Kluyveromyces lactis: one gene and its partners. The protein of the gene in region 2 interacts with the protein of the main gene of each other region in a pairwise test. Links are inferred from orthologs where the notes say so. Each region holds a gene or a part of one and is shown on either strand. Other genes may lie near its edges.

The links.
Region 1: the proteins of UTP22 (region 2) and UTP25 interact in binary tests that used the Saccharomyces cerevisiae proteins (3 or more experiments, as listed by UniProt). The link is inferred for Kluyveromyces lactis from reciprocal best matches to the Saccharomyces cerevisiae genes UTP22 and UTP25.
Region 3: the proteins of UTP22 (region 2) and UBP10 interact in a two-hybrid assay, tested with the Saccharomyces cerevisiae proteins (2 studies listed by BioGRID). The link is inferred for Kluyveromyces lactis from reciprocal best matches to the Saccharomyces cerevisiae genes UTP22 and UBP10.
Region 4: the proteins of UTP22 (region 2) and SQS1 interact in binary tests that used the Saccharomyces cerevisiae proteins (3 or more experiments, as listed by UniProt). The link is inferred for Kluyveromyces lactis from reciprocal best matches to the Saccharomyces cerevisiae genes UTP22 and SQS1.
Region 5: the proteins of UTP22 (region 2) and UTP20 interact in binary tests that used the Saccharomyces cerevisiae proteins (3 or more experiments, as listed by UniProt). The link is inferred for Kluyveromyces lactis from reciprocal best matches to the Saccharomyces cerevisiae genes UTP22 and UTP20.
Region 6: the proteins of UTP22 (region 2) and DHR2 interact in binary tests that used the Saccharomyces cerevisiae proteins (3 or more experiments, as listed by UniProt). The link is inferred for Kluyveromyces lactis from reciprocal best matches to the Saccharomyces cerevisiae genes UTP22 and DHR2.
Region 7: the proteins of UTP22 (region 2) and KLLA0_F13222g interact in binary tests that used the Saccharomyces cerevisiae proteins (3 or more experiments, as listed by UniProt). The link is inferred for Kluyveromyces lactis from reciprocal best matches to the Saccharomyces cerevisiae genes UTP22 and IFH1.

What each region holds. Positions count from the first base shown.
Region 1 is NC_006041.1:740,586-744,680, forward strand, and holds UTP25 (rRNA-binding ribosome biosynthesis protein UTP25), read left to right. Parts: upstream 1-1,480; coding exon 1,481-3,595; downstream 3,596-4,095. Other genes in the region: ICE2 (Ice2p), read right to left, coding at 1-1,088; KSH1 (Ksh1p), read right to left, coding at 3,938-4,095. UniProt on the Saccharomyces cerevisiae protein: DEAD-box RNA helicase-like protein required for pre-18S rRNA processing, specifically at sites A0, A1, and A2.
Region 2 is NC_006040.1:1,246,659-1,250,790, forward strand, and holds the start of UTP22 (rRNA-processing protein UTP22), read left to right. Parts: upstream 1-1,332; coding exon 1,333-4,132. Other genes in the region: KLLA0_D14762g (uncharacterized protein), read right to left, coding at 87-491. UniProt on the Saccharomyces cerevisiae protein: Involved in nucleolar processing of pre-18S ribosomal RNA and ribosome assembly.
Region 3 is NC_006040.1:717,546-721,646, reverse strand, and holds UBP10 (ubiquitin-specific protease UBP10), read left to right. Parts: upstream 1-1,348; coding exon 1,349-3,601; downstream 3,602-4,101. Other genes in the region: MRPL19 (mitochondrial 54S ribosomal protein uL11m), read right to left, coding at 3,928-4,101. UniProt on the Saccharomyces cerevisiae protein: Deubiquitinating enzyme involved in telomere and HM loci silencing, which is the repression of chromatin structure which leads to a stop in the transcription of nearby genes.
Region 4 is NC_006040.1:1,646,821-1,650,671, forward strand, and holds SQS1 (Sqs1p), read left to right. Parts: upstream 1-1,128; coding exon 1,129-3,351; downstream 3,352-3,851. Other genes in the region: cysteine protease ATG4, read right to left, coding at 1-862; CNM67 (Cnm67p), read left to right, coding at 3,764-3,851.
Region 5 is NC_006041.1:1,547,840-1,552,045, reverse strand, and holds the start of UTP20 (Utp20p), read left to right. Parts: upstream 1-1,406; coding exon 1,407-4,206. Other genes in the region: KLLA0_E17447g (resistance to Congo red protein), read right to left, coding at 1-425. UniProt on the Saccharomyces cerevisiae protein: Involved in nucleolar processing of pre-18S ribosomal RNA and ribosome assembly.
Region 6 is NC_006042.1:2,427,004-2,431,058, forward strand, and holds DHR2 (RNA helicase), read left to right. Parts: upstream 1-1,356; coding exon 1,357-3,555; downstream 3,556-4,055. Other genes in the region: AEP1 (Aep1p), read right to left, coding at 1-527. UniProt on the Saccharomyces cerevisiae protein: Probable ATP-binding RNA helicase. Required for 18S rRNA synthesis.
Region 7 is NC_006042.1:1,219,268-1,223,478, reverse strand, and holds the start of KLLA0_F13222g (uncharacterized protein), read right to left. Parts: upstream 2,801-4,211; coding exon 1-2,800. Other genes in the region: KLLA0_F13200g (survival factor 1 family protein), read right to left, coding at 3,553-4,211. UniProt on the Saccharomyces cerevisiae protein: Transcriptional coactivator that together with FHL1 regulates the expression of rRNA and ribosomal protein genes. Its activity is negatively regulated by environmental stress.

The DNA of each region.
Region 1 (4,095 bases), on a different chromosome or scaffold from region 2:
AATATTTCTTGGATACTTATCGGTACGCTTTTAGTGAAATTCTTCACTGAGTTCCACAAAGGATTTAGAATCCATTTACATTGGTCCATCATTTTAATATATTTATGGTTCCGAGGCGTGTGTTCTACTATCTGACTCCAGATGGCGCGATAATTTTTAGTCATGAGTTCCAAAAGATTATCCTTCTTGGGCAAATTAGCCTGATGGATTTTCCATGTTTCCTTAACGATATCGAATATTTCGTCCATGGCATTCATCGCCATCTTAGGACTTATTTCGTAAACATTGCGAACCATATAAGCAAAAAACAACGAGCTTTCCATCACTGACCCTGATCCGTTTATACCATATAATCCGATACCACAAACAATTGAGAATGTGAACCCAAGTAGTGAAGCACTTGGTGTGGAGAGTTCCCACATTGGAGTGACATATATTCTGTAAAAGTAAAATAGTGATAGCGTAATAATTCCCCCACTGATCAACAAACTCAGAATAACCCATTGATTACTTCTTCTAGACATCTTGAGCCATCTCTCTGTCTCCCCTATGGCTTGAATGGCGAGAATGGTGAAAACACCCTCCAGTAGAGTGAACACTGGAGTCGAATGTATCAATGATAGCTGCCATGGCTTCACCATCACATTCCAAAATACTTTGAAGTACTCGGAATCGACAGTATCAGAGTCGATGTTTTCAAAGTATGACAAAAACATGAATAAAATTGAAGGAATGAGAAGATGCTGCAAATAATAAATCAGGGTTGACAACGCTGATCCGCGGTCCAGTAATACTAGCTTGAAAGTCGTTGAAACAAAATACAGAGCAAATAACGTTACAGTAAATGACAATCCACAGTTCAGCCCACCAACTTGGAAACTTATCGGAATGGTAATCAGCACGAGAAATAGATACATTGTCGTGAGAAATATCCGCAGAGTTTGAAGCACACTCTTCTTTATTAGTGGCATCTTGGAAACGTTGAATTTTGCACAGTGACGGGCTATTGTTGATGGCTCAAGCCTTCTTTCTTGACTCCTTCGTCTTCTGGTTTGCTTGAAGATTTCCATCGTAATTCTATGTAACATTATTTTTTTTGTTTGTATTATATAAGTTTATGAAAACAGTCAGTTTACAGGCGCAGTAGTAAAAGGAATGGAACGTACCAAAAAGGTAAACAGTATGACGAGCACACTACTTTGAACTTGTTTAATCGCTTCTCAAGGTAGACGTAATCTTTGAGGTGTTTCAGGTCTGCTGTGACATGACTTTACGGTAGGAAGGGGTCGACACTTCTTTTCAAGTACCTGGACCTGATGAGATCATTAAACACGGATGAAAAATTGAGCATCTAAGATTATAAGATGCGATGAGATGACATGAGATGAGCAGTATATTAAATTGACATCATATTAATTGTATTTGGTTATTGCTGGAGTAGTAGAAAAGTGTCATTTATTTGGTAAAGGAATCCTCAAACATGAGTAAAATCAGAGCTGGTCCAAAATCTGGTAGAAAACAGTTGAGAGAGATCACTAGAGCTGGTCAGAAAAGAGTAAGATATGATGACGAAGCAACGGTAGCAGACTTAACCCCTGATAATGAAAGTGATTCTGATAATGCAGAGCCATCTGTTGCAGCTGAAAGAGAAGATGTTGAGCAACATAGAGGACAAGCTTATAATGCGTTGTTAACTTTATTAAAGTCAGAACATCCAGAAAGGAAACACAAATCAAATAAGAAGATCAAGAAAGATTCCCAACGCGCTGAGGAAGACAGTCCTGAAAACGATGGAATTAATAGTGAAGATGAACAACAAAATATTGAAAATGCTTTGGATGATGTTTCTGGAGGAGTTGTGGATGAGGAAGATATGGAAGATTCATTATCTGACGTTGATGAGAGCGAAGATGAATCCGATCCATTCGAATCACATTTCAGCAAATATAGTGAATCACGCTTATATGCTTTCGATAAAGGCTTCAAAGACAAGACTGTCAAATACAAATCTTCGAAAACAGATGTTTCGGAAGAAGAATCTCTAATATATTCCAAACCGTGTCTAGATGATGAGGAAGTTTTGCCTGTGAAGGGGAAACAAACTTTGAGCTCATATTTCATCAAACAGAAGTTGAAATTAGCAAACGATTTCCAAAACAATGGCTTACCGTTAACTGAAATTCAAAAGGAACTTGTAGATCCAATGTTTCAGTATAAAGATATGTTATACGAATACGATGATTATGCTGATGAAGATCAATACAGAGATCTGTATTCTTTACATGCGCTCAACCACGTCTATAAGACCAGGGATCGTATTTTGAAAAATAATCAAAAATTACAGGAAAACAATGATGAAGAGCTATTGGATCAAGGTTTTACACGTCCGAAAGTACTTATTGTAGTACCAACAAGAGATGCTGCTCACAAAATTGTCCGGAAAATTATGGAGAAATCAGGGCTTGATCAATTCGATAAGAAATCGAAATTTGAGGATCAGTTCTTCGAAGATTCGTTACCTCCTACTTCAAAACCTAAATCCTTTCAGCATATTTTCCAGGGTAACACAAATGATTTCTTCGTATTGGGTCTCAAGTTCACTAGAAAATCCCTAAAGATATACTCAAACTTTTATCAGTCCGATATCATTATATGCTCTCCGTTAGGGATTCAATTAATTCTTGAAAACACTGATAAGAAGAAAAGACAGGATGATTTCTTGTCGAGCATTGAAGTCATGATCATAGATCAATTGCATTCCATTGAATATCAAAACGCCATGCATGTGACAACAATTTTTCAGCATATCAATAAAATTCCGGAACAGCAACGGGAAGCAGATTTCAGTCGAATCAGAATGTGGTATATTAACGAACAGGCAAAATTCTTCCGCCAAACAATAGTCTTCACTAAATACATATCACCGTTTGCCAACTCAATCTTGAATGGGAAGTGTCGTAATCTTGCTGGAAGATGGAAAAATCATAGGAAGATAAAACCTGAACAATCAAGCATTGGTCAATTAGGACTAAAGGTTAGACAAATATTCCAAAGATTTGATTTAGCAGGAGGGACAGCTCTAGATGAACCTGATTACAGGTTTAAATTTTTTACGAGTGTCATCGTTCCGTCTATTGTGAAATCTACTGGGTACGAGGATGGTATATTATTATACATTCCTGATTATACCGATTTCATCCGTGTTAGAAACTATTTGAAAGAAAAAACTACAATCATATTCGGAGAAATCAACGAGTACTCTAACCAGAAACAATTGACATCCAATAGAGCAAGATTCCAACACGGAAAGGTGAAGGTCTTGTTATACACAGAAAGATTGCACCACTTTAGAAGGTACGAAATAAAAAACGTCAAGAGTGTAATTTTCTACAAGCCTCCGGGAAATCCTGAATTCTATTCTGAAGTTGTTCGCAATATTGGTAAGAACGTATTTTTAGGCAACTGTGATATCAACATTTCAACTGTCAGATGCATATATAGTAAGATGGACGGTCTTTCTCTAGAGAGAGTCGTAGGATCTAAACGCGCGGCAGTATTGGCTCATGGCCAAAACGAAGTGTACGAGTTTAAATAGAGTGGATCAAATATGCCATAAATAATTAGTAAACCGAAAACTTACGCAATCGTTCTCCTTTACTAATAGCTTAGAGTATTAAAATATGTTGCACTTTTCAACTTCTTTGTTTGTTGTAGAATTTTGAAACTCAAAGTCAGATTCAAAGAGTACATATTAATTCTTAATTATTTGATGCAAAGAGACAAGCCCGCAAACGAATCCAATAGCCGCCCGATAATAGATTAAACTAATTTTATACTTAAAATATAATTCTATAGACCTCAGAGCCGGTCAAACTTGCTAATGAGAGCTTTCACCTATAGCAATTGTGACTTATCTTTATCTTTTCCCTTGGGTTTATCAACTGTTGAATTGCGAAACTGCCATGGCAATGCAAGCTAAAGACACATAAGGACTAGCTCTTTCCCCAATTCTCGCAAACTTCCAAAATACTCCTAGTATACCGCTGTCCTTATAACGATCAAGGAGCGATGGTCTTTGTGCATGAATATATGTGC
Region 2 (4,132 bases):
TTTGTTCGGGATAAAACTCTCTAGTCCCGCTAGTCTCAATTGTCCAATTAAACAGTAAACCCATCTGTTAAATTGGTCCTTTGACTTCACTTGTTGTAGATGAACAGACGTCTTGTCTTGGAACCTGGAAAAGTCATCAAAGCTTTATATTCGCTGTCACACGAGTTGTTATTCTTCTTGGAATAACTAAACAACAGACTGCTTCGATATCTGTATTCCCTATCAAACACTTCGTAAGTACTTCCTCCAAATATCTCTCTCTCGGGATCTAAGTCTGAGTATGGGTTAACATTTTTATCCTCTTTTAAACTCTGTTTAGGAGCACTACCATCACTAACGATATCGAGTCTTTGTATATCTTCACAGATACCTCTTGTCGGATCATTACTTCCTTGCGGAGACTCAGTGACGCTGCCATGTAGGTGATCCTGGTTGTCGCAGTCACAGTCACGTGTAATTAATTCAAAACCTTCGGTATCAGATGAATCCATAGTGTTTACTAGCTATATATAGCTAGTGTGTTGATGCACCTGGCGATCTGTCATGACTGTGTTGATGGTCTTTCCCCAGATCTATGGCCTCTTTATATAATAACTCAGATTGGTTAATGATGTTTCATGTTGATACTTGACCGTCTATTGTTTCTAATCCGTCTCAACAGATAACCCGCCGAATGATCTAAAAAATCTGTAAAATTTGTAATAGATTTCGTGCCTCCTTAGCTTAGTGGTAGAGCGTTGCACTTGTAATGCAAAGGTCGCTAGTTCAATTCTGGCAGGTGGCATTCATCTTTTTCAATATCCAATCTGACCTTCCTCGAATCTATTTTTTTTTTCTTAAAGTAACATTGTGCACTAAAACTAGCAATACGGTACGTCTAAAACCATGTATTCCCTATATTACTACATATCGGGATAGTACCAGTTCCAGCACTTGAGTTGGACTTGGCTTTAGTCCAGTATGACTCTATGTATCTGACTATCTAACTGATTATTCAGAGAGACTGAGATTGGACACGTCGTATAAAGTGACAGACGCATCAAAATCCTTCACATCGAATTTTGGAAAAATTTGCCAGGCGATGAGCTTTAAAGGTTTAAAGAATTCGCATTTACATAGAATGAACGTACCCATAGGCAGGTTTATCACAGTGATTTTGTTTGGATTTCCCTCGTATTAGTTTGCTAGATATTAAAAGGGTAATTCTCTTCTGTTTTGGCTAGGGGAAATTGAAACCCTAGGACTCGGGCACTGGCTATCATTCTGTATTATAATCAATCCAGAGGCGCAAACGGTCAGGAACTAGTGAATTAAGTGGATATTTAGTGAACTATGGCCTCTGTGAAACGTGTAGCACCAGATGGTGAGAAGTCCAGGAATGGTAGTTTCACCAAGAAGGCGCTTGTAAAAGCTATTACTGGCTCACAGGCTGAAAATGACAGTGACAAGACTGGTTCTTCTTCTTCTGGAGAAGAAGAAGAAGAAAGAGAGGAAGAGGCTACTGCCTCTTCCAGCGGGGAAGAAGACGAGGAAGAGGAAAACACACATGACCATAAGGCTAAGAAGCCAAAGTTGAGCTCCCAGGATATACAAATAGCGAGAGAAACGGCTGAACTCTTCAAATCGAACATTTTCAAATTACAAATCGATGAGTTATTGGAACAAGTGAAGTTGAAGGACTCACACATCGTAAGGGTGGAGAAGTTTTTGCATAAACTATATGATATGATACAGGAAGTACCGGAATGGACTCCGCAAAGCTTAGAAGATGTAGAGAAATATTTCCATGGGAAAGTGGTATCAGTTCCGTTTGTGGATCCAAAACCACAAGCGAAGAACACACAGTACAAATTCAATTATTTAAAGCCGGACGTGAGTTTAATTGGATCATTCGGGTTGAAGACTGCCATCTACCAACCTCAGGGCTCCGCAGTAGACGTTTTGTTGACTATGCCTGAGCAGTTGTTCGAAAAGAAAGATTTCTTGAATTTTAGATGTTTCCACAAGCGTTCAGTATACCTCGCGTATTTGACTCATCATATCTCACTCGTCCTGAAAAGAAGCCAGCTGGATTTCTTACACTTGGAATATTCATACTTTAACAACGATCCTTTACAAACGGTATTAAAGATAAGTTGTAAGGAGAAAACTTCATCGGACTATAATTTCTACAAGACTAAATTCAGCATAAACTTGATCGTGGGGTTCCCATACAATTTCTTCGAATCAAAGAAGTTGCTACCCAATAAGAACTGTATCAGAGTCGGTCAGGATAACGAAACTCCGACACCTTTCTACAATTTCTCGGTATTATCATCTTCTTGTCACGAACACTATTTGAAGTACTTACACAAATCAAAGAAACAAACAGAACAGTTTAAACAGGCTTGTATTTTGGGGAAGCTATGGTTATCTCAGAGAGGCTTCTCATCAAATATGTCTCATTCAGATGCGTTGGGTGGTTTTGGAAATTTCGAGTTTGCCACGTTGATGGCAGCCCTACTAAATGGTGGTGGGTTGAATGGTAACAGAATTTTATTGCATGGGTTCTCATCTTACCAATTATTCAAAGGTGTAATCAAATATTTGGCCACAATGGATCTTTGTACTGATGGGTACTTACAATTCTATTCCGACTATAGCACTACTGCAACTGTCACTTCCTCAAAATACGTTGAAGAAGGTTTCCAAACACCTACAATCTTTGATAAAACCACCAAAGTTAACATACTGAGTAAAATGTCTGTTAACAGCTATCAAATGCTAAAGATCTACGCGCAAGAAAGTTTATTGATGTTGAATGACGTCGTCAGAGATCAGTTCGAAAACATGTTCTTAACTAACTTAAACAAGATCAAGACAGTGAAATATGATGCTTACTATGATTTAGATATCCCATCCATCAATTTACTACTGTCCAAGTTCGGTCCCGTTGAAAAGATTAGCTTTATATCATTCGAAAATTTCATCTGCAATAAAGTATCGAACATCGTGAAGATTGCCCTTGAGGATAGAATCAAAGCTTTTGAAGTGGCTCTAGTTAACAATAGATCTACTTTCCCAGTAACAAAGAGAAAAGTTGCTGCTGTTCCAAATTTCACTTCAATCCAAATTAAACTGTTGATCAACCCTGCAGAATGTGAGAAGCTTGTGACTAAGGGCCCAGAGAACACAGAAGAATTAACTAATGAAGCTAATGAATTCAAGATTTTTTGGGGTAAAAAAGCATCTCTTCGTAGATTCAAGGACGGTTCCATTGCAAACTGCTGTGTCTGGTCAACTTCTGCTATTGAAAGTGTTGTTTCTTCGATTTTGTCCTATGTTCTAAGGCTACATTTGACTGAAGACTGCAAACTCATCAATAATTCCACTAGCCAATTCCAACAGTTGTTACCACTACCGAACCTACCTGCATCTTCAAAGACATCAGTTCTAAACCTATCAAGCTACTATAACTTGAAGAAGTCCTTTGACGATTTGTATAAAATCATGTTCGAGCTAAAACTCCCATTATCAATTAAATCTCTTTTACCTATTGGTTCTGCATTCAGGTACACATCATTATGTCAGCCTGTCCCATACGCATATTCTAATCCTGATTTCTTACAAGACGTTGTTATCGAATTCGAAACGTCTACAAAATGGCCTGACGAAATTACTTCGTTGGAAAAGGCTAAAGCTGCATTTTTATTGAAGATTCAAGAATCCATCACGCAGACTCATAGTGAGTACAAGTGCTACTTTACACGTGATGAATCGATTCCATACAACTTGGAAATAGTTACTCTAAACATTTTGACTCCAGAAGGATACGGTTTCAAGTTTAGAGTTCTAACTGAGAGAGACGAAGTTATGTATTTGAGAGCAATTAACAACGCAAGAAAAGAACTAAGACCAGAGCTGGAAAAGACATTCTTGAAATTTACTGCCAAGTACCAAGCTGCTATTAGACATACTAGAACTTTGGAAAACATTTCCCATAGTTACCCATTCTACTCTCCAGTGGTAAGACTATTTAAGAAATGGCTAGATTCTCATCTCTTATATGGCCATTTGTCAGAAGAATTGATTGAGCTTATTGCCATTAAGCCATTTGTAGAGCCACGTCCATTCACCATGCCAGGTTCCGTTG
Region 3 (4,101 bases), about 530 kb from region 2:
GTTCCAAATCGTTACAAAGTCAGAAACAAACAAAGATAATGACCAACTTTCGAAACTGTAAATAAAGATCTAAACACATAGATCTTAGAGTTGCATATCTCCATTTTGTTGGAGTTTCAGCTCCTCGGCTTACCTCTTCCTTTCTTTCAAGAAGGCTACAAAAACGCTGATACTATGGAGATATAGGCGTCACAGAGTTACAAGCAATACGGCAACGTTTTAATTACTCAATCCACCCACAACTAGTCCTTGTCAAACGTGTTTGCGGGGGGTTAACAATCGGAGGCTAATGGTTGTGTCAGTGACTGATACTATTTTTACTCCCAATGTACATAAAAATTCCCCTCCTTTCTTTTTCAATCTCGAGTACATGTTGCGGATTTATTAGCACATGGAAAGCTCAACCACAGGGGCAAAGGGAAAAGAGTTGAGAGGAAAAGAGTGATTAATCGAATAATCAGTTTGATGGAGCCTTTGGAAAAAGGTCAAAGTTGTAGAGATCTGGAGAACGTAAACAAAGAGATAGGCACTTATATATACAAAACAGAGATTATCAACAGGTAAACAAAGGAAACGTAAACAAATACACCTCATAGCTGCATCAGCTGCATAGAGCATGTCAGCGGCTATCGAACAAGCCTAATCATGGATATGTTATGAACGTTATCGAGGTTGGTATCTGTTCAGTTGCCCTTTTTGAGATTGCAATCTGATAAGGATTCCAGTCGAGCCAATCGGAGAAAAGACGGACATTATGGATGTCTTTGTGTCTCTATTTTTGTGTCCCAAAACATAGAGTCATAGAGACATTGCAGCGTGGTCGGATTAAAGGGACAACAAGATCCCGCCCTATTTCTTTTCTTTTTTATTCGCTTGAGGGAGGAGAGGCGGATGGGACGGCGAGGTGGATTGAGGAACACTGATGTTGTGTTTTTAAGAAAATGACTAACATCCGGGTATCCTTTCACGTGACACAAAATACCATGACGTATTGCATTATTGCTGTTACCCGGCTTTCATATCGCTTTTTTTGTGGCACACCAAAAACCAGACACAAAAACGTGTCAAAGGAGCGTGTCTGGTTATTTGCTACCCGGATACTTTGATATCCAGAGTTTATAGATTCAGTTCTTTTTTTTTTTTCTTTGGATCCATTTTTTTTATCGAATTTTCGCTGTCAAAACCTCCCTCTCTAAGGCCAGATCAAAGAAAAAAAAAATAATAAAGAGAAATAAAATATTATACTAGAAAAGGTTTTACTAAACAGCAGGTTATTTCAGAAGAGTTCGAAAAGCTTGCGGACAGAAAAGGGCTAGGGTGCAGTTTTCTATCAGGAAGAACTAAGGTAATGACTGATTCTGTAAAACCACTAGTGGATCGTATCGTTTCGCAACCGTTGGAATTCAAGAAAGCTGTTCAAGAGGACTCATATAACGTCGGTGGTGAAGGCTCTTCGTATATTATGATCTCATCGAGCACCCAGAAACAGCAGCAGGAAGCCAAAGAAGGCGATGAGCATCAGTTAGAGCATGGACATCATCAGGGTATAGCTGCTACTGCAACTGCGTCCCGTAAGGAGAAGGTGGTCAAGCCCTCATCATTTGCAGAGGCGTTGAAGATGTATACCACTAAGAAAAGTGCGGCAAACGCTGCGGAATCTAAGCCAAACAGAAGTTCGCAATTACCAATTACCGCTTCTCATGTGACTCCATCGGGGAAATTATCTATCGGTTTGAGCAATGAGCTTTTACTCAGTGATGATGACTATCATGGATCCTCGACTGAAGATGAGGAGCATCCAATCGTGTCGTTGTTGGAAAACAAAGTGACCCCAGATTCAAACGAAATGTCGGGTTCTGGGTCTTCTTCCGCTTCTTCATCATCTGCTGCAACTTCTGCTCCTGTCTCGTCGTCTGATGACGACGATGAGGATGAGGATGAGGATGAAGTGTTTCATGAGGCTAATGAATTCGTTCAACCATCGCTGGCATTAGCTGCTCCTGCTGAGCAGCCTGGAAATGTCGATGAAGATGAAGATAGTGATGACAGTTCATTCCACGCTTCTTCTGCATCAGCAGAAGACGAGGATGACGAGAATGACGAGGATGTTTCTGCAGAGGAAAAGGAAGAACTCAAATTGGAGGCTACTGAACATGCTGCTGCTTCTTCTTGTCAGTTCAAAGGAGTGTCTTCATCTTCAACTGCGGCTGCTTCTGAGAGCAAACCTGAAGAAGAGGAAAATGGCGAAGAAGAGGAAGAGGATGAAGAATTGAAGCACAAATCTCCACAACCTCTATCACCTACCCCTCCTACCACTCTTCAGGACAAGTCAAGCTTCTACCAATTTAACGAGTCGATTAATGACCATGGTTCTAATAAACCACAGAGGATAGTTAAGAATTGGGGCTCTAAGTTGACCCAGCTGAAACCAAGGGGTTTACTCAACCATGGTGTCACATGTTACACAAACGCTGCTGTGCAAGCCATGGTTCATATTCCAGCAATTCAACACTATTTATTTCAATTACTACGTGGAAATTTCAAGGACACCGTTAAGTCTAACTGTGTTTCCATGTTATTAGCGGAAACTACGATGAGAATGTGGTCTTCTGACTCAACTAAAAATACGTACATTAATCCTGATAAATTAATCAATGCGTTGGAAGACATTAACTGTATGATGAGCGCTTGGAACCAAGAGGACTCTCACGAATATTTTATGTCTTTAATGTCACGTTTACAAGAGGACTCGGTTCCTAAGGGCCATAAAATGACAGAATCCATCATTTACGATGTATTCGGTGGATTACTACAACAATCAGTTAAATGCAGTAACTGTGGTGAGATTTCAACCACTGAACAACCTATATACGATCTTTCATTGCATTTAAAGGGTAGAAAGACAACTGATCAAGATCAAAACTCTGTTGGTCAAGATAATTCAATTGATAACTCTGTTGATCAACAGCAATCTTCAAAGAGAAGGTTTTCAATTGAAAAATCTATTCGGGATTTCTTCAATCCTGAGTTAATCAAAAGAGTGGACAACAAAGAAGGGTATACATGTGAGAAATGTAAGAAAGTTACTAACGCGCTAAAGTCAAACAAGATTATTCGTGCTCCAGAGACTCTAGTGGTTCATTTAAAAAAGTTCAGATTTAATGGCACATCTTCATCCAAAATGAAGCAGGCCGTATCTTATCCAATGTTTTTAGATCTAACGGAATACTGCCATGAATCAATCAGCTCCTTACCCGTAAGATACCAACTAATTAGTGTCGTTGTGCATGAAGGGCGATCTTTATCTAGCGGTCATTATATCGCACATTGTAAGCAACCAGATGGAAGTTGGGCCACATATGACGACGAATACATCAATAAAATTTCAGAAAAACAGCTTTTGAAAGAGCCAAACGCGTACTTCTTAGTGTACACTAGACTTACACCAAAATCGGTCCCACTTTCCTCTCAATCTTCCAATAAATCTACTGATCTAGGTATTCCGCAATTGCAAAGACCTCCATCTTCACACTCATCATCGCAGAACAACTCTAAACGTAAGAATAAGAAAAAAAACAAGAAGAGAAGGATTTCCCCATAAGTTTGAATAACCCTTTCCTTAAACTACCGGCTTACAATACACTTGCATCCTTGTTCATTCTTTCTTTGTAAACAGTCATACATGCATCTACCTCACACTGACTTCAGTTCATCTTTTTTCACTTCGGTTTCAGTTCATTTGGATCATCATATACATCTTCATCTATAGTAGTTGATATATTATTATAATTTTATCTTTTCATTATTCTATTTTATGTACACGAAATGAGGTCTACAAATGCTAATAAACCAGTTGGAATGAAACTCTCCATCGAGACCTTCACTATTTCACAAATCGATGCTTTGATTAGTGAAAAAAAAGTCAGTTTATGGAACTACCTTAATACCCATACTCTTAGCAACACCGATAATAGACTTTACGATTCCTTCAAGTTCCAGAGCAGCGTGTCTTCCATCGGTCTTCTTGATCTTGGCGATCTCATATATATGTTTTAACGACAGTTCACCACATACATTATCAGGGTTACTGATATTTGGTTG
Region 4 (3,851 bases), about 400 kb from region 2:
ATCCAAAAAAGTATAATGATGACGAGGGTTTACCGCCTGCGATCCCGACAGAATATGGTGATGAGAGAATCTTGAATATGTCTTTCCAGTATAAGCTGTTGATTTTGTCAACACCCAACCTGACAGCAAACAGCAGAAGTAAATTAGCATCCCTATCCTTATGAAAAATTCTTGTGACCTCATCTTCGTATATATCTGCCGACTGAGTTGAAATTATACAATTCTTAATTCCACAAAGGGGAAACCCTTCAATCAATGTTTTTATGCTTCTGGCTGTTGCGCTTGGCCCAAACCACTGCCCAGGTTTCATTCCAGATATTTTCTCTTCTGCTTTGACAAAGTTGTGTAACGACAAAGGATATTTGACATCGTCTTGAAACCAACGGATCAGATTTAACTCATTATCATCTATTCTTGAAGCATTTATTCTGAACTCCCTGGCAAGCTTGACTCTTTGAATGGCATTCGCTAAAAGAGCCTGCCCAGTGCGTATCATACAACCCCAACCAATATCTGAATAAAAACTGTCAGGATCAGTTAAAGCATTTTCTAATGTGTTGATAGGATTATCTCTAAAAAAAAGGGTAAAATTGATAGGAGATGGTCCATTCTCATTTCTGCGGATAGGGGTAAACTGTGTGCGGTATGTGAAGAACACTCGTGAATGTACGTCAGACAAAAGTCCAGGATTTAATGAGACGATATTTATCAGGCTTTCCAAGGCCGAGTCATCTGTTTCCACATCCGTTCTTGATTTATTGTTAAGGGGAGCGTATTCTTTGCCCAATATGAACACGGTGCCATCTCGATCAACATCTTCCACTATACCTAAATGTTGTGATATCCTTGACAAGAACTCCATATTTGCATAGGGATGGCTGGGTTTGAAGATTGAGCGATACGTTTTCCTATACTTTCATGCACTTTGTACTCACTTGCTTTTTACGATGCTGATCATAATTTGCAGAAACTTATATTTCTAATATTAATGAACAATAATCTATATGAAAAATGCATTTAAAACCATGTAGAAAATAATACTTCATAACAAGAACGTAACTCTAAGGTAAGCCTGGTACACCCCTTGTTGCAGCTGCTAGGAATTTGAAGCAGTAGGTCATCGTGATAATGGCAAAGAGGCATAAACATTATAATGCCAGAGGTGGTGGGAAGTCAAAAAGCAAGAAATCCAAGCCACATGGTGAATCAAGGCAAAGAAAGAATCATAGGGGAGGTACCAGTATCAACAGGAATAGATCCGAGTTGTTACTAGGAGGTGGTGACCTGATGAATCCACATCAAGTTGAAGATTATTACTTTGGATCCACTGCAAAAAAGAGTTCATTAAGATCTGGTGGATTTAGGCCTGGAAGATTGACGGAAGCTGATGAACTCGATACTGGCAGGTTGCCATCAAGAAAACGTCCCGTGGAGTTTATCAAAGCAAAAGAACTCTATGATCCTTCTCATGACCTAATATTAAAATTGGTGAAAAAGAATCAACATTTTGACGAGCCAAACTCTGACGGTTACAACTCCTCGCAAAGCGTATCCCTGAGGGAGGAAGAGCAAGATGGTGAAGATGAACAACAAGACGTTGATACTCAGGAAATTCCAAGTAAAAACACAACTGTCAAGATACGATCTGATAATGTGGTTTCTGAAAATGGAGATTCGGAATCAAACAGTTCAGCGAACGACGCTGAATTGTTCTATGTAGATATGGAAGGAGAAGAAAAGACTGCTGATAATTATATTAAAACTGTAGATGTTGATGTACAGGAACGGTCATTAAAGCTTAATGACTGTACCGAATTTCAACCGACATTGAGGGTAGGCAATGTGGAACTTAATCTCAAAGACGGGGGGTCTGGCTCTATTGAAGTTGATAAACCAAAGAGTTCATACCATCCATTTCACAGCTATATTCAAAATGTGATGGAGAATGTACAAAATTATGACTCGGATGATGACTTTGATGAGAATGGAAATGACGTTGAACAGAGTTTTAGTATAAGTTCAGATTATGAATTTGAATCCTCGGAGGAACTAATAACAACAGGTGGTACGATCGAACAGTTTGATAGTTCAATGAAGTCGTTAACAATTGAAGAAATTCCCGGGAAAACAATCACTGCATCACTTACAACAAAAGATATATCACAAGGAAATTCTGATAATAGCTCTGGCGATGAATCATTTGGATTCTGTGAGGATGATTTTGAAGGTTCGATAGGAAAAGTGTTTGTTTCCAATATTCGAATCGGAGCTGGGACTCATTCTTATCATGTCTCATGTCATGAAATATACGGAGATAGTGAGCCTAGATGGGTAGATGATGAAATGATGAATGAAATAATTGCCGAAATGGGCTTACCTGAACACCGATTTAGAGCTTATTACAAACATCTACACAAGTCATTCATTGAAGAAGAGGAAGAGCCAGAGGAATATGCTGATATCCCCTTTGATGATGATGACAGTGATGATTCTACTGCGGATCAATGCGAACCTTTCGCCGAAGATGATCTCGGTGAAGATCTTGATGATCTCGTGTCTTACGCTCTAAAATACAATAAGCAGCGAAAAATTGAATACCATACTACTTCATTGGATATTAGGGGGAAAGGAAGAAACAAGCATTTAATATTCGATCAAACAGCAGGAATGGACGAAGACATCAAGCTCATGCTTCAAAATAAGTTTGCCACAAGACAAATAAACAAAACCAAAAAAAGAAGAGCAAAAGAAGATTTCTTGTCTCAGTCACATGCAAGCTCTACAGATCTTTTAATGAAATATCCTTACGGTCTACACATTCAAAATATAAAAGACGAATTTGATGCGTTTTACCGTAACGATCGTCAATCCATTACATTCCCACCTTTGGATCCCCACGGTAACAAAATCATCGGCAAATTTGCATACAATTATTTTATGAAGGCTTCCAATATTGGTAAAGGAAAATCGACCAAGGTTTACGTTGAGAAAACCAAAAAGACAAGGTTCAATAAACCAGCATATCACATTATCAGCCAATTACTCAGAAAACGACCTGTATTTATGAGAATAGATCAAAAAGCTCCGACTGACACACAATCCACGTTCAACCGTACTGTTCGCTTGAAAGTTTCTAAAGAAAACTTCAATATTAGTGAAGGGCAAATTGTGGGTGAAGATGCACCAGAAATTGGGATTGACAATATTGGAAGAAGAATGCTTGAAAAGCTAGGATGGAATATCGGACAAGGGCTCGGTGCCCACGGTAATCAAGGAATTAACGAACCAATCTTGGCCAAGGTGAAGAAGAACAAATCAGGTTTACGCCATACCTCTGAAAATCAACAATGACGGTAAAATACTGCATTGTCTTGTTCGACAACGCTGTTGAAAGACTGTGTTTCTTGATAAGTGTATAACTACATATACATATAGAGTATAATTGAATGCCCTTGGCCAGTATGGTCTATTTTTTTAACAATATCTAGAAAAGCGTGCACGTATGCCGTATCTTCAAAAGTTATGTTCGGTGAAAACCCTGGGAGCGTTTTGTCCGATCCCAAAAACTAATTTTTAGATTGATGTCGTTTTATTATATTAACCACAAACACGATTTTTAACAATGCCATGATAAAAGTACCAAAAAAATAAAACGTAAACAAACATAGATGAGCAGCAATCGATATTAATAAAAGATTGCTTGAAAACTAGAGCAGTTCGTCGAATATTAAGCACAGCCACATACTGAGACATTGAGTCCGCAATGCTTTCTCCAACAGGAAAAAGAAGAGGATCTTTCATTGGAAACCAAACAGACGCCAAACAAGAAGAAAAGTTTGATTATACAGATA
Region 5 (4,206 bases), on a different chromosome or scaffold from region 2:
ACATACGCATCTATCGGTGGTGGAGGGTCGGCTTTACTGTTCACGTGGAATATCCCATCACGATCGTAGTAACCCAAATCGTTTTCATTTGCTTCTTCTGTGTACGGAGGCACGTAATCTGCCAATGGGACATCTGATCTATTTCTTACAGCTTCTGATTGTCGGTATGTGGGCGGAGTGAGCCATGACACGTATCGAAGTGGTTGTTGTCCGTTACGCCTTCTTATATAGTTTATTCTTATCGTAGTGATGACAAATGCCAGTAAGATGAACATGAATATAACGAATATTACCCACCGTGCCCATTCCCAGTGGGAGGAACACGAGAGACCCCAGCAGTTGTTATCAATATCAGCAGATGTAGTGGTAGCACTTTGAACAGCGCTGACAACACTGGATGGCGTAGATGTAGTTGTGGTTGACATAGCAGGCGAAGTAAGAGCAATATTAGAACCCGGAAAAGATATACTTCCCTTGTTTATTCAATTAGTAAGTTCAGGAGTCCTGCTCTTGGTGTTGGGTTAGCCCTCTTTGTTTTCCGATCCTTTTGATCGAAGGTCTTGTATATCAACAGACAAAAAAGGGGACGAGAAGCGACTTGTAACAAAAAATCCAGTGGGAAATCCTCCTTTCAGCGATAGCTTCGTGTGCAGGTTGGATTTCAAACTCCTATCGACTGCCCTCTGGAGTCCTGCTGGCATATCCTTGTTGCAGCAAGAGTAGCGAGGAAATCTGATCGCGAATCATGACAAATTTCATTTAAAAACGACTATTCCCCATATGCAAATATATATCAGTATATATAATATATCAAGAGACCGATGGAGAGAAATACTGGAAATTTAAGAGAAAGGATATACCTATTTTACCACGAATGTCCAGAAAATGTTGCAGAGCCTCAAATATAACCAAGTTGAGTTCCAAAATCAGCACTACTTCTGCGCTACATAATGTTTACCAATTTTTGTATAATGAGACGATGGAGTTTCTTATTAGTTGAAGTTCTATCATTACCTCGCGATTCTAGGTTGGATACTCTCAACTTATATATTGTAGCGGTTCTACTATTAGTACTCCCACAACTATCGTACCTTCCTGGCCCGTTAAAAACACCTCATAAATGATCAGTGCTGGCGGTCAGTCCTGTGGCCGTAGTCGTCCTCCAGATCGGCCCTGCGTAAAAAGAAACTGGATTTCTTCACGTTCCATTCTAGGTAAAGGGAAAATTTTCAGAATTTGGAAAAGCATGAAAACTCATCTCATCTCATCTCATCGCATAAACAACAAACACAAGAGGGTCTACACACAGTAACTGTCAATCACCAGTCATACAAGACCTGCTTCAGTACATTGATATAACATTGAGGACTAGTCTTGTTCTGTTTCCCATTTTAAAATAATCAACCATGGGTAAGCAAAAGACTACAACGAAATCTACCAAGAGGTATAGATACTCATCTTTCAAGGATAAGATTGATGATTTGAAGATTGAACCTGCTAGAAATTTGGATAGAAGGGTTCATGATGATGTAGAGACCTCCCATTTTCTATCCTCTTTTGAACACTGGAAGGATATCAATTTGAGTGGGAATTTCGGATCCTTTATGGATTCGGTAGAGAAATTGGTTCAAACTTTGCCTCAACTTTTGTACCATGAGGATGAAATCTTTGCGAATTTGGAGCAATATATAGATAAACACGATGAGAGATCTTTACAGCCGTTGTGTGATCTCTTGGCTCAGTTCTGTCATGATTTGGGACCTGATTTCATGAAATTTTATGAAAGGGCGGTTACATGTTTGATTAACTTATTGGAAGCTGCCACTGAATTTGAAAACTCAAACGTGTTCGAATGGGGGTTCAATTGTTTGGCATACATTTTCAAGTATTTGTCACGTAGTTTGACTCAGAATTTGACGCCCACTTTCGACCTCTTATTTCCGTTATTGTCACATAAGAAAGAATACCTCTCCAGATTCTCCGCTGAGGCTCTATCGTTTCTAATAAGGAAATCTCCACAGAAACATTTGGCCACTTTTGTCACATTTTCGTTCCAAAAATTGTGCTTGTTAAAGAATGATAATTTTTATGACGGTTTGCAAACTTTATTTGGTGAATCATTGAAGAGTACTTCCGAGGCATTGCATTCAAGATCAAATATAATATTCCAAACTCTTCTGCAAATCGCATTCGAGAAAAATTCAGACATAGTATGTGTCTCTTTACTTTGTGACATCATTCTAGATATCACTAGACACACTTCTGCGGAGAATATTCAGAGTTTATACGATTTGATCCTTGAATTCTTGGACGAGAATTTGAACGGATCTAGTGCTGCTGTTGGTAAAACGTTGAGAATGTTATCTACGCTATCGTTTGCCGAGAGTGGTAGAAAAGTACCAAGTTGGGAAAAGTTATCTGGTGTTCTACGTAAAGCCACTCAACATGATAGTCTAAATGAATCACATGCAGATCTAGTGTCGTTTACATTTGCCATCGTCTTACGTAATGCTGACGTTAAAACGCTAACTTCTCTGCATAAATACATGTTCGAACTCTACTTGACGAAATTCTCAGCTCATTTCATTGAATTCTTCAAGATTTCTATGGATATCGATAAGGGTAAAGTGCTTTCTTTCAACGGGTTGAAATACTTGCAGAAATACGTTAATAACTGCTGGGCAGATGGTGCTCAGAAGATTGCATTGTTCCTTTTAGAATCGGAATCTTCACAAGATTTGGACTTGGTAAATCATCTCTCTGCACCGGAATTCGCAACCCAGTTGTTGAAGGATATCAGCGATGCTAATGTAAACGATGAACAGGAAATTTTTTCTGTGTATTGGAAACTTATAATATTAAAGACATTGAAACAAGAGGATGAGGAAATCATTATGCATTTGCTAGAGAGGGTTTTCCAAAAGGATGTGTTATCGGATTTTGAAAAGGATTTTGTTGGTTTCCTACTTCAAGCATTAACATTTAAAATCACTTCATCTGAGTCGGTCATGGCTGCAAAATTATTGAATATTCTAGTTCCGAGAATTATAGAGCTACAGAACAGTAGATATTTTATTGAAGGTATTTCACATGTTTTATCATATTTGGAGGACGACACTGATATTTTGAAATCTTTATCAAAGATTTTACCCATATTAACAGATAATCTATTACTTCCGGACAAAACCATCCGTTACGAAACCCTTAAGTTTATAATATCTGTTCTAGAAAAGCAAGGCAACTCAGTTCCCCAATTATTTTATGATCTAAGGATTTTGGAAGAAATCCCTCTGGATCTTCATACAAGCCGTGACATTACTCTCAGAGTAAGGAAACTAGGTGCAGACTTTGCCAAGATGGAAGCTGAGGATTTATTGACTAATGTCTTTTTCAAACATATGTTTGGGCTTCTAACTGTCAGATTCTCTCCAATTTGGGAAGCTATCTATGAAATAATTCCAGAAGTTTACACCAAAAACCAATCCCTTGTGTGGAGTTTGGCTATGCGTTTCCTCACTGTTCTTGATGAAACAAAGGACGTCAAATATTATAGCATTTCCAATAACATTGACCTTCAAGAACCATTCTGGACCGTTAGTATCAATAGAATGAATGACTCCATCCTTGCTTCTGACAAAGTATTTAAAAAATACTCTGCTAGCGATTCAACTATATTGGATGTTTTGGAGGAAAGAAGGAATTCTATGGTATATCCATCATTGATTAGAAGTCAGATATTCAAAGTTTTATTGTCGATTCCTAGTTTGGCAGAGCGTCATTCAAGGGACATAGTTCCTTTTTTATTTAATGAAGAAGAATCTGAAGAAATTTTTATCACAGAAGATCAACCAAGTATGGATGTACTAATTCCAACAGCATCACAATGGACTGAAAGTGATAGAAACCTTTTATTAAAGCTCGTTGGCAAATTCAAAAATATCAAATCCATTTACAAATCAGAGGAAGTGCACGATAGGTTAATGGCACTTTTGAGCAGCAGAACTACAGAAGTTCAAAAATTAGCTTTAGATGCGTTGTTTTGTTACAAGGAATCTCATATAACCAAGTACAGAGAAAACTTGAAGAACTTATTGGATGACACTTTATTTAAAGATGAAATTACCAAGTTTTTAGCAACCGATGACACCAAAACTATCCAAAAGCAAGATGAAGAAGCTGTTATGGGTTATATTGTGAGAATTCTCT
Region 6 (4,055 bases), on a different chromosome or scaffold from region 2:
CCTTTATGGAATATGAATAGCTTGCTCAATTCACTGTCTAATGTCTCGAATGACAGCTGTGGATGGCTGTTCAAAAAGTTGTCTAATTGTTTAACAAATGGAGACTCCGAGGTCAGTTTCGTTTTTCTCACTTTTGGTCCGGAGTCTGATGAAGTAATGTTGACTTTATGAAAGAGACGGTCTCCGGATTTATGTATTCTCTGAACCCATTTTGATACATCTTTAACTGTGTCAAAACTCAATCTGGATTCCACTAGAGTAGATTCACTTGTCACTGGGTGTCTCACAAATGCTGGTAATACCGGCTTCCCATTGAAAAGTTTTGGATTCCTTTCAGTGATGCACAAAGCTGTGCGTTCGGTAGCATTAGGATATTGGTAGAATGGATGTACAATCTTGTTAGCTGCTGGAACCACGTACTCAGGTAGATGTCCCCATTCTTCATCTGCTACTTTGAATTTGTTTTTTGGAACCAGTAGCGTCTTGCCCGGTTGCAACTTATTAGCAGCTCTAGAAAGTATACTCATATCACGGGAAAAAAGATGAGAGAGTGAAATGTAGATAGTAGATGCAGTGGTTAACGTCGTAGCCACAGATAATATATAGTTTTCCCCAGATGTGATTGGTGAACGGTCCCCTATAGGTCTAACGCTGTAGGTTGAGTTTATCTACCATGCTGAAATAAAGCTTTTTTTTTCAGTTTCGAAGGTGCTTGAGAAAATACAAGTTCAACACTGTTCAAATCATCGTGGAATTACAATTAAGAGACGCAGCCCAGTAAAGAGCACCCTGTTCAAAGAATATGATACTCTTTTACTACACCGAAGACAGCATTAGTTTATATATATATATATATAAACTAATTTTCTCTTGATGGTGTTATTCCTTCTCTATGTTAAGGCAATGATGAGAATTTGTCACTGCTGATAAATGGATATCGTTCCAGTATAGTATTGAATAATAGACTAATCGTTTATTATGAGAGTTCCTCTGTAACGCTTGAAAGTGAAGCAAGAGAGTTAGGTGTGATATACATTCAGGACTTCTTGTCAGCCATCATCTTATGCCAGATGTATCAACAATATCAGTTTTTTTTTTCATTGGCAATATTGAATCGATGATGAGCTAAGAAAATTTTCAGCAGAAACGTAAATAGTAGCTATTTCCAGAGATGAGATGCGATGAGCTATGGAAAATTACAAGCTTGGTTTTGTCAAAGGTCTTTTCAGCTTTCTTGAGTTGAGATTATTGCTATTATTGCCAACCACTTGCTGTAAGGAGCTAGCAGTGAGGATCTACAGCTTCCTTATTTGTTGACCCACTCGAGTTTGATTCAACTATAGACCTATCACTCAGATGGGAAAGAAGAGTAAAGCGGTTCAAGACCGGCAGAATGGGAAGTCCATTGGAAAGAAGAAATCCAATGCAAACCCGTTAAAACGTCACGCTGGGAAGAAGACCGTAGTTACTTTTGATGACCATCAAGATGGAGATACTGGGGATTCGGATTCCGAAGCCTTGGATCATGTGTCAAATAAAGAGTTAAAGACAAGGGCACTGAGGTTATTGAAAGGGCGTGAGAGTTTACCAGTATTCCAGAATAAGGAAAAGATCGTGTCTCACATTAAAGCTAATCCAGTTACCATATTGATTGGTGAAACAGGTTCTGGTAAATCTACACAAATTCCCCAATTTTTGATGGATGAGATTTCTCCGATGCACAAAGGGGCCATAGCTGTTACTCAACCACGTAGAGTTGCAGCAATCAATCTTGCAACTCGGGTGGCGCAAGAGCACGGATGTAGAATTGGTCACGAAGTTGGTTATTCTGTTCGGTTTGATAATAAAAGTCACAAGACAAGAACTAAATTGAAATACTTGACAGATGGTATGTTAATCAGAGAATTAATGCTGGACAAGAACCTATCCAATTATAAATGCATAATCATAGATGAAGCACATGAGAGAACTATATTGACGGATTTGATTTTAGGTTTTTTGAAGGAACTTCAACTGACCAAAAGGAAAGATTTGAAAGTAATAGTAATGTCTGCCACATTACAAGCAGATCTATTCAGCAAATTCTTTTCGAACGCACCTATACTATTCGTTGAAGGCCGCAAATTCAAAGTAGACAGATATTATCTACCCAGACCTTGTGAAGATATAGTGGATAGTGTGGTACGCTGTTCAGTTCAGTTAAACAGTTCAGAAACTACAGGAGATATACTCTGTTTTTTACCGGGGCAAGAAGAGATTGATAAAGCAGTGGCCATTTTAAACAAAATCATTCCATATTTAGACGAATCTGTACCACGCATCACAGCATACCCACTTTATGCTGCATTACCACCAAAAGATCAAGCTAAAGTCTTCGAACCTTTAAAGGGATTCAAAAGAAAAATCGTATTGGCGACTAACATTGCGGAAACATCTGTTACCATTCCTGGAGTTAAATATGTGATAGACTGTGGATTAAGGAAGGTGAAAGTTTGGAGGCATCAGTTGGGGCTAGCTACGTTACTAACTGTTCCTGTTTCAAAGGCTAGTGTAGCACAAAGAGCCGGTCGTGCAGGCAGAGAAAGTTCAGGTAAATGTTTTAGATTATTTACAGAAGCTGATTACAAACAACTGCCGAAACAATCTGAGTCCGAAATTACTCGATGTGAAATTACGTCCCCTATCTTGATGTTGAAACAGTACGGCGTACAAGATATTGTAAACTGGTCGTGGCTAGAACATCCAGGGAAAGAAGCTATTATCTCGGGGCTAAAAGAATTATATGAACTTGGTGCTCTCAATGAACAGGGTCGTGTCACTGATAGAGGTCGCAAGATGGCGCTATTACCTTTAGCACCACATCTAAGTAACGTTTTGATTCATGCTCAAGAGACTCAAGTATTGCCATACGTCATAGATATAGTATCATGTCTGAGTGTTGAAAACTTGGTGTTAAACCCATTGCCTGAGGAACGAGATGAGGTCAACGAAAGAAGAAGGGCATTATGTACCCTAGGCAGTAAGCACGGTGACCTAATCATGCTAAAAGAGTTATTCGACATGTATCAATCATTACAAAGCAATTCGGAGAAACAAGAATGGTGTAAACAGTTATGTGTATCTCAGCGTGGATTCAAAAACGTGATTAAAGTCAGAGAACAGTTGACAGGGTATATGAAGAGACTGTACAATGAACCGGTAGAAATTAAAACAAAACAGGACACCCTACAACCAGAAGAAGACATTGCTACGAATCTGTTGCAGCCGCCAGACATTGCGGGTGTTTTAAAATGTTTCCTATATGGGTTTGTCAAGAACACTGCAATTGGAATGCCTGATAAATCTTTTAGAACAACGCCAACAGGGGAACCAATATCGATCCATCCGTCCTCGATGTTATTCATGAATAGTGGCGATGAAATAGGTCCATGCCCTGCGATATTATACATCGAACACGTATTCACAACAAAGGGATACGCGCGGTCTGTTTCTCGAATTGAATTGGCATGGCTGCAAGAAATTGCCTCAGGCGTTTTGAAGCAATCGACAAGATAATGAGAGAATTATTCGCGGGGTAAAGGAACTGGTCCATCAACCAAAATTTTCCCCGTACTTCTTCGCATTCGAAGTACAGTAAATGCAGGATCTAAATAGGGAACTGTATATATTAATTAATCACATCATAACGATCATATGCGAGCAAAGCACAGTTAATTGTAAATAGTGTAAAACGAAAAAAAAAAAAAAAAGAATGAAGGCACATTTGATTTTCACTGGTAATGGCCTGTGTGAGTTCTTTCTGTACGGCACTTTCAGTCAAATCTCTTCAAACAGCTCTCGAAACATAATCGAACAATAATGTGTGTCCAGATCGGAATACAGAATAAAGAAAACACCGAGGAAAGAAACGGTTTTTCCGTTTGTGGCCGTACTTCTCCAAGAATTTGTCGTGGTATTTTTTTTTTTATTTTTTTTTAGTTTTTTTTTAGTTTTTTTTTTATTTTTGCTCTTGGAATGGGATGGGAAGAGATAATTCAAGTTCTACGTAAACTCAG
Region 7 (4,211 bases), on a different chromosome or scaffold from region 2:
CATGGTTAAAATCAATTTCTTCAATCGGGGCAGTCAGAGAAACCAGGAGATCTGCATCGTCACTGCCTAATAGATCAATATCTCCATCTTCATCTCCATGATGAGAAAGTATTAAATCATCATCAGATTTCAGCAGTTGATCAATTTCATCCATTCCTAATCCCTTCACAGAATTCTTCCTCGTTGGTAAAACCAGACCGTTGAAATCATTAGGTGTGTTTCCAGCATCTGCATCGGTGAAAACACTTGAACTTGGACTAGCCAAATTCACGCTAGAGGGAGTTTGAATGTTGTTGTGAGAATCTGCGTTGGGTTCAGTTTCAGTTTCTTGTTCAGGAGCAGTGAGCAATTTTTGCTTTTCAATTCTTTGCCTTTCCCTTCTGATTTTCAAGAGCTTCTTTTTCTTCTTTATCTTCCGTCGCTTTTCATCTTTCTTTCTTTGGTATTCCTTCATCTTATCGATCTTCCTTCTAGTCCTTTCACTACCAACGTAACCAATTGGGAACTTGCGTGCTGAAAACACAGGAAGCATGTATTCGTCTTCTTGATGTTCGAAGTTGATGCCTTTATTTCTGAAAGCAGATAATGGAACAGATGGTTTGTGATACCAGGTGGCAATCTCTTTATTCTTAGAATTCGAGTCAGCGCCATCTTCATTGTTTTCATCTTCAAGCTCACTCATATTCAACAATTCGTTAAGGGTTAGTTCCTCTTTTTCGCCTCCTGATCCGATACCATTATGTGATGAAACGTCTTCGACTTCAATTCTTGGATCTAAAATTTGTTGAACTGGCGGAATAGCAGGATACAAAGATTTAGTGGAAAGGCCATCAATGATACTAAAGGGCTTGTTATCTGTCTGCCAAGTTCCAAGTTTCGGAGGCTTCAAACCAACAACGTTGGCACTAACGACTTCTTTTGCCTTAGTCCCAATTTTGCGTCTTGTATTTGGAGGTGGTAAAGTGTCATCTTCATCAGTGGATTCGTCATCTACAAAGATGACACCTTCCACATGGTCATCTGGAGTGTCAGGATAGCTCTTAGCTTCTCCAGCTTCCTCATCTGATAACGAATCGTAATGAAAGTAGAAGCCATCTGGATCGAGATCATCAATATCAATGAAAACGTTGGTGACACTCATATCGTCATCATCTTCTTCAAAGTCATCTTCACCATCTGAGTTTTCGACTTCGTCTAGCTCCAAGCCATTTTCATCCTCTTCATCTGTAGGGAGGTGGGCGATATCTAATAGAATATCTTCGTACTCTTCATCTCCAGATGAAAGCTCTTTATCAGATACTGCCACGGTACTGAGCCTACGCAAAGGAGATTCAAGGTCATTGGTAACTTTAGGTTTCTCGTCATCGCTTTGGAAAAATAACCCAAATACGTACTCATCTTCTGCAAGATCTGGAGTAGCAGAATGTTCACGTTTAGACTTCTTGGAAGTCATTCTTCTTTTCAACCTCTCCTGCCTTTCCCGCTGTTTTAATTGCTTACGCTCTTCCCTCTTACGCTTCTCTTCGCTTAACACTAACGGTAAAGATGTGCTTAAAGTTAAGGGTTGGTCGCTGCCATCATAGTAATACAGATTGGAAAACTTGGGATCTTCATAAAAGGGCATATCGAAATCACTCATGATTGCATCATCTTCATCGTCCTCGTCGTATTCGTAATCATCGTCGTCATTTCTGGGTTTCCCATCTCTATACTTTGATTCCACCTGCGAATCATCGAAAGAAGAATGATCATCACGTTCAAGCTGTTTAACCATATTCTGTTCTTCAACATCCAGAATAGCCATATCGTCATCACCAGTCTCAAGGCCGTTATCTATACCGGTAATATTTTCGTTATCATCATCAATGGTCTTGAAATATGCCTCTTGATCGATATTATAATCTGAATCCTCACTATCTGAAAATTTCGGTACCGCCAATCTATCGACATTTGGTTTAATGGAATCTAAAGGTTGTTTCACATCTTTATCCTTGACTTCCTCACCTAAATCTTCATCAGCCTTCTTGGAGGCTACTGAAGCATCACCGAACTTGATCCCATCGTCGCCTTTGAAATTGAATGACAGTTCAGGAGCATCTGATAGTTCAGAGCTTGAAATGTCCTCATCATTCGAATCCGAAGCTTCACGATTCTGCTGAGCCCTATTAGGAAATCCACCCTGTTTACTATTACCTTTATTGTTGCTGTTACTGACGACAGTTTCTGCAGGTGTCTTGCCCCTCTTCAAAGCGTTCAGCTGTTTCATTGCGTTTTTCTTACGTTCCGCAGTAAGTCTCACAAAATCCACGTCATCGTCTGAACTAGTACTCGAACTGTCGCTATCATCATCGTCATCATCGTCATCGTCATCATCATCATCATCATCATCATCATCATCATCGTCATCATCTACTGCCATTGTACCTCCTTCATCCTCCGAGAGAGACTGGTAGTCTGAAGACGCTGTAGCACTGTCCGAACCTGATGTGATGGCTGAGTCCTGATTCGTTGATATCAGCTTTCCGTTCTTACCCATCGCATTCGAAGATCGACCTTTTAGCTTAGTTCCGGCTTTGGGATTCTTATATAACGGTAACTTGGACAAATTCGAGCCCCTGCTGTTCGAATCCTGTGGTATATCACTCAGCGACGAATCACTAGAATATATTAGACTGAAACGTCTCGGTCTAGAACTTAAATGCGGAGGCTTATCCTTCTTATTTCCCATTTTATCCTGTAACGCTTTCAGAGTCGTAGGCTTCTTCCCACTAGTTAACTTCCTCGGGCTTTTACCTGACATAATATATATGTGTTATCAGTTGCAATTAGCAGCTGCAATAATGGTATTCTACTCTTTAGTGGACTTTTCTATATGCACCTGGATCAAATCAATAGGCTCAACAATTTAATAAAAAGAAAACCAAAAGAAAAAAAAAATTTCTAGGTTATAAAACGTTTTATCCAGTTCAACACAATCTTTAATAACTAGCTAATCAACAGTAAGTGTCCTGGGATCACACACAATTCAAATCTTTATTCCTTATTCCTTATCCTTTCTCTTCGCAGATAAACGACTAGTAGAATGAAACCAAAAAAAAAAAAACCGAAGAGCAGGGAAATCTATTCCTGAATATTCCTGATCTTACTGCACTTCTAACCTAGATACGTAAAATTTTCCACTATCTTTACAGCCAGCGTTGGTAGGAGAAACTCTGATTTGATCAAAGACAGAGACAAAGACAGAAACAAGGTTATTCTCTGCTTTTTTTACACACTATTTTATTCTAGTCCCAATTTCTTGAGATGAGCTCTAAGTTTACTTTTTATTTCTCTGTTTTCCTATGAAAATTGGTTGAGAAGATAATGAGGAAAAAAATTTCTTTTGTTGTACCGGGTAATGTTCTGCTGTGTTTGAAGATTGCCAAGATACGTAATTTGACGTTTGACGTTTGACGTTTGACTCTTGGATATGGGAGATCAGATGTCTGGGATTAATGACGACTCGCATCTATTCACTCTGTTAATCATTTTTTAAATTTATCTGAATTGGATCTATGGACTTATAAATGTTGTTTCTACAAGTGATATTGCACGTTCGTCATCTACCTCGGTTCTTTGACAGAACTGATATAGATATGGGTTGATTCCTTCCACCTTTTCCACAATGCCTTTCAATACCGTGGGCATCTCTTGTAATATATCGTACACATTGATTAGATTTAAGGGCCCCAATAGTAACGTGGGGCATAGTTCACCGTCTTTTTTGGGTAACGGAATCTCTACGATGTTTGGATACTCTACTCCGGTCTTGGGATCCAGTGTTAGCCCAAAATGTTTCACATGCTTATGTTTATCCTGTATACCGCAATATATGCGCTGTGATGAGGTTATCTTGTTTGTGTCCGACGATATGGTCACTGTTTGTTCACCGTATTCTTTTGGCGTTGTAAACTCCATACATAAAATTGTCCGTCTAGGTGACATGAAAGCAGCGAAATTCCACGATTTGGCAGCGCTGTTAGGTTTAAGGCCTTGCAATGCAGTGATGAGGACCATAGGTACTGAGTGAAATTTTATCTTTTTCGAGTTCACCACTATATGCCCTGATCCAGTACAATTCGGAGCAAATACATGTCTGATACACCTGTCGACGTTTGGGTTGCCCCTCATGGGAACTCTCGAGAAGAAACTCCTACCATCGGGTTTGATCT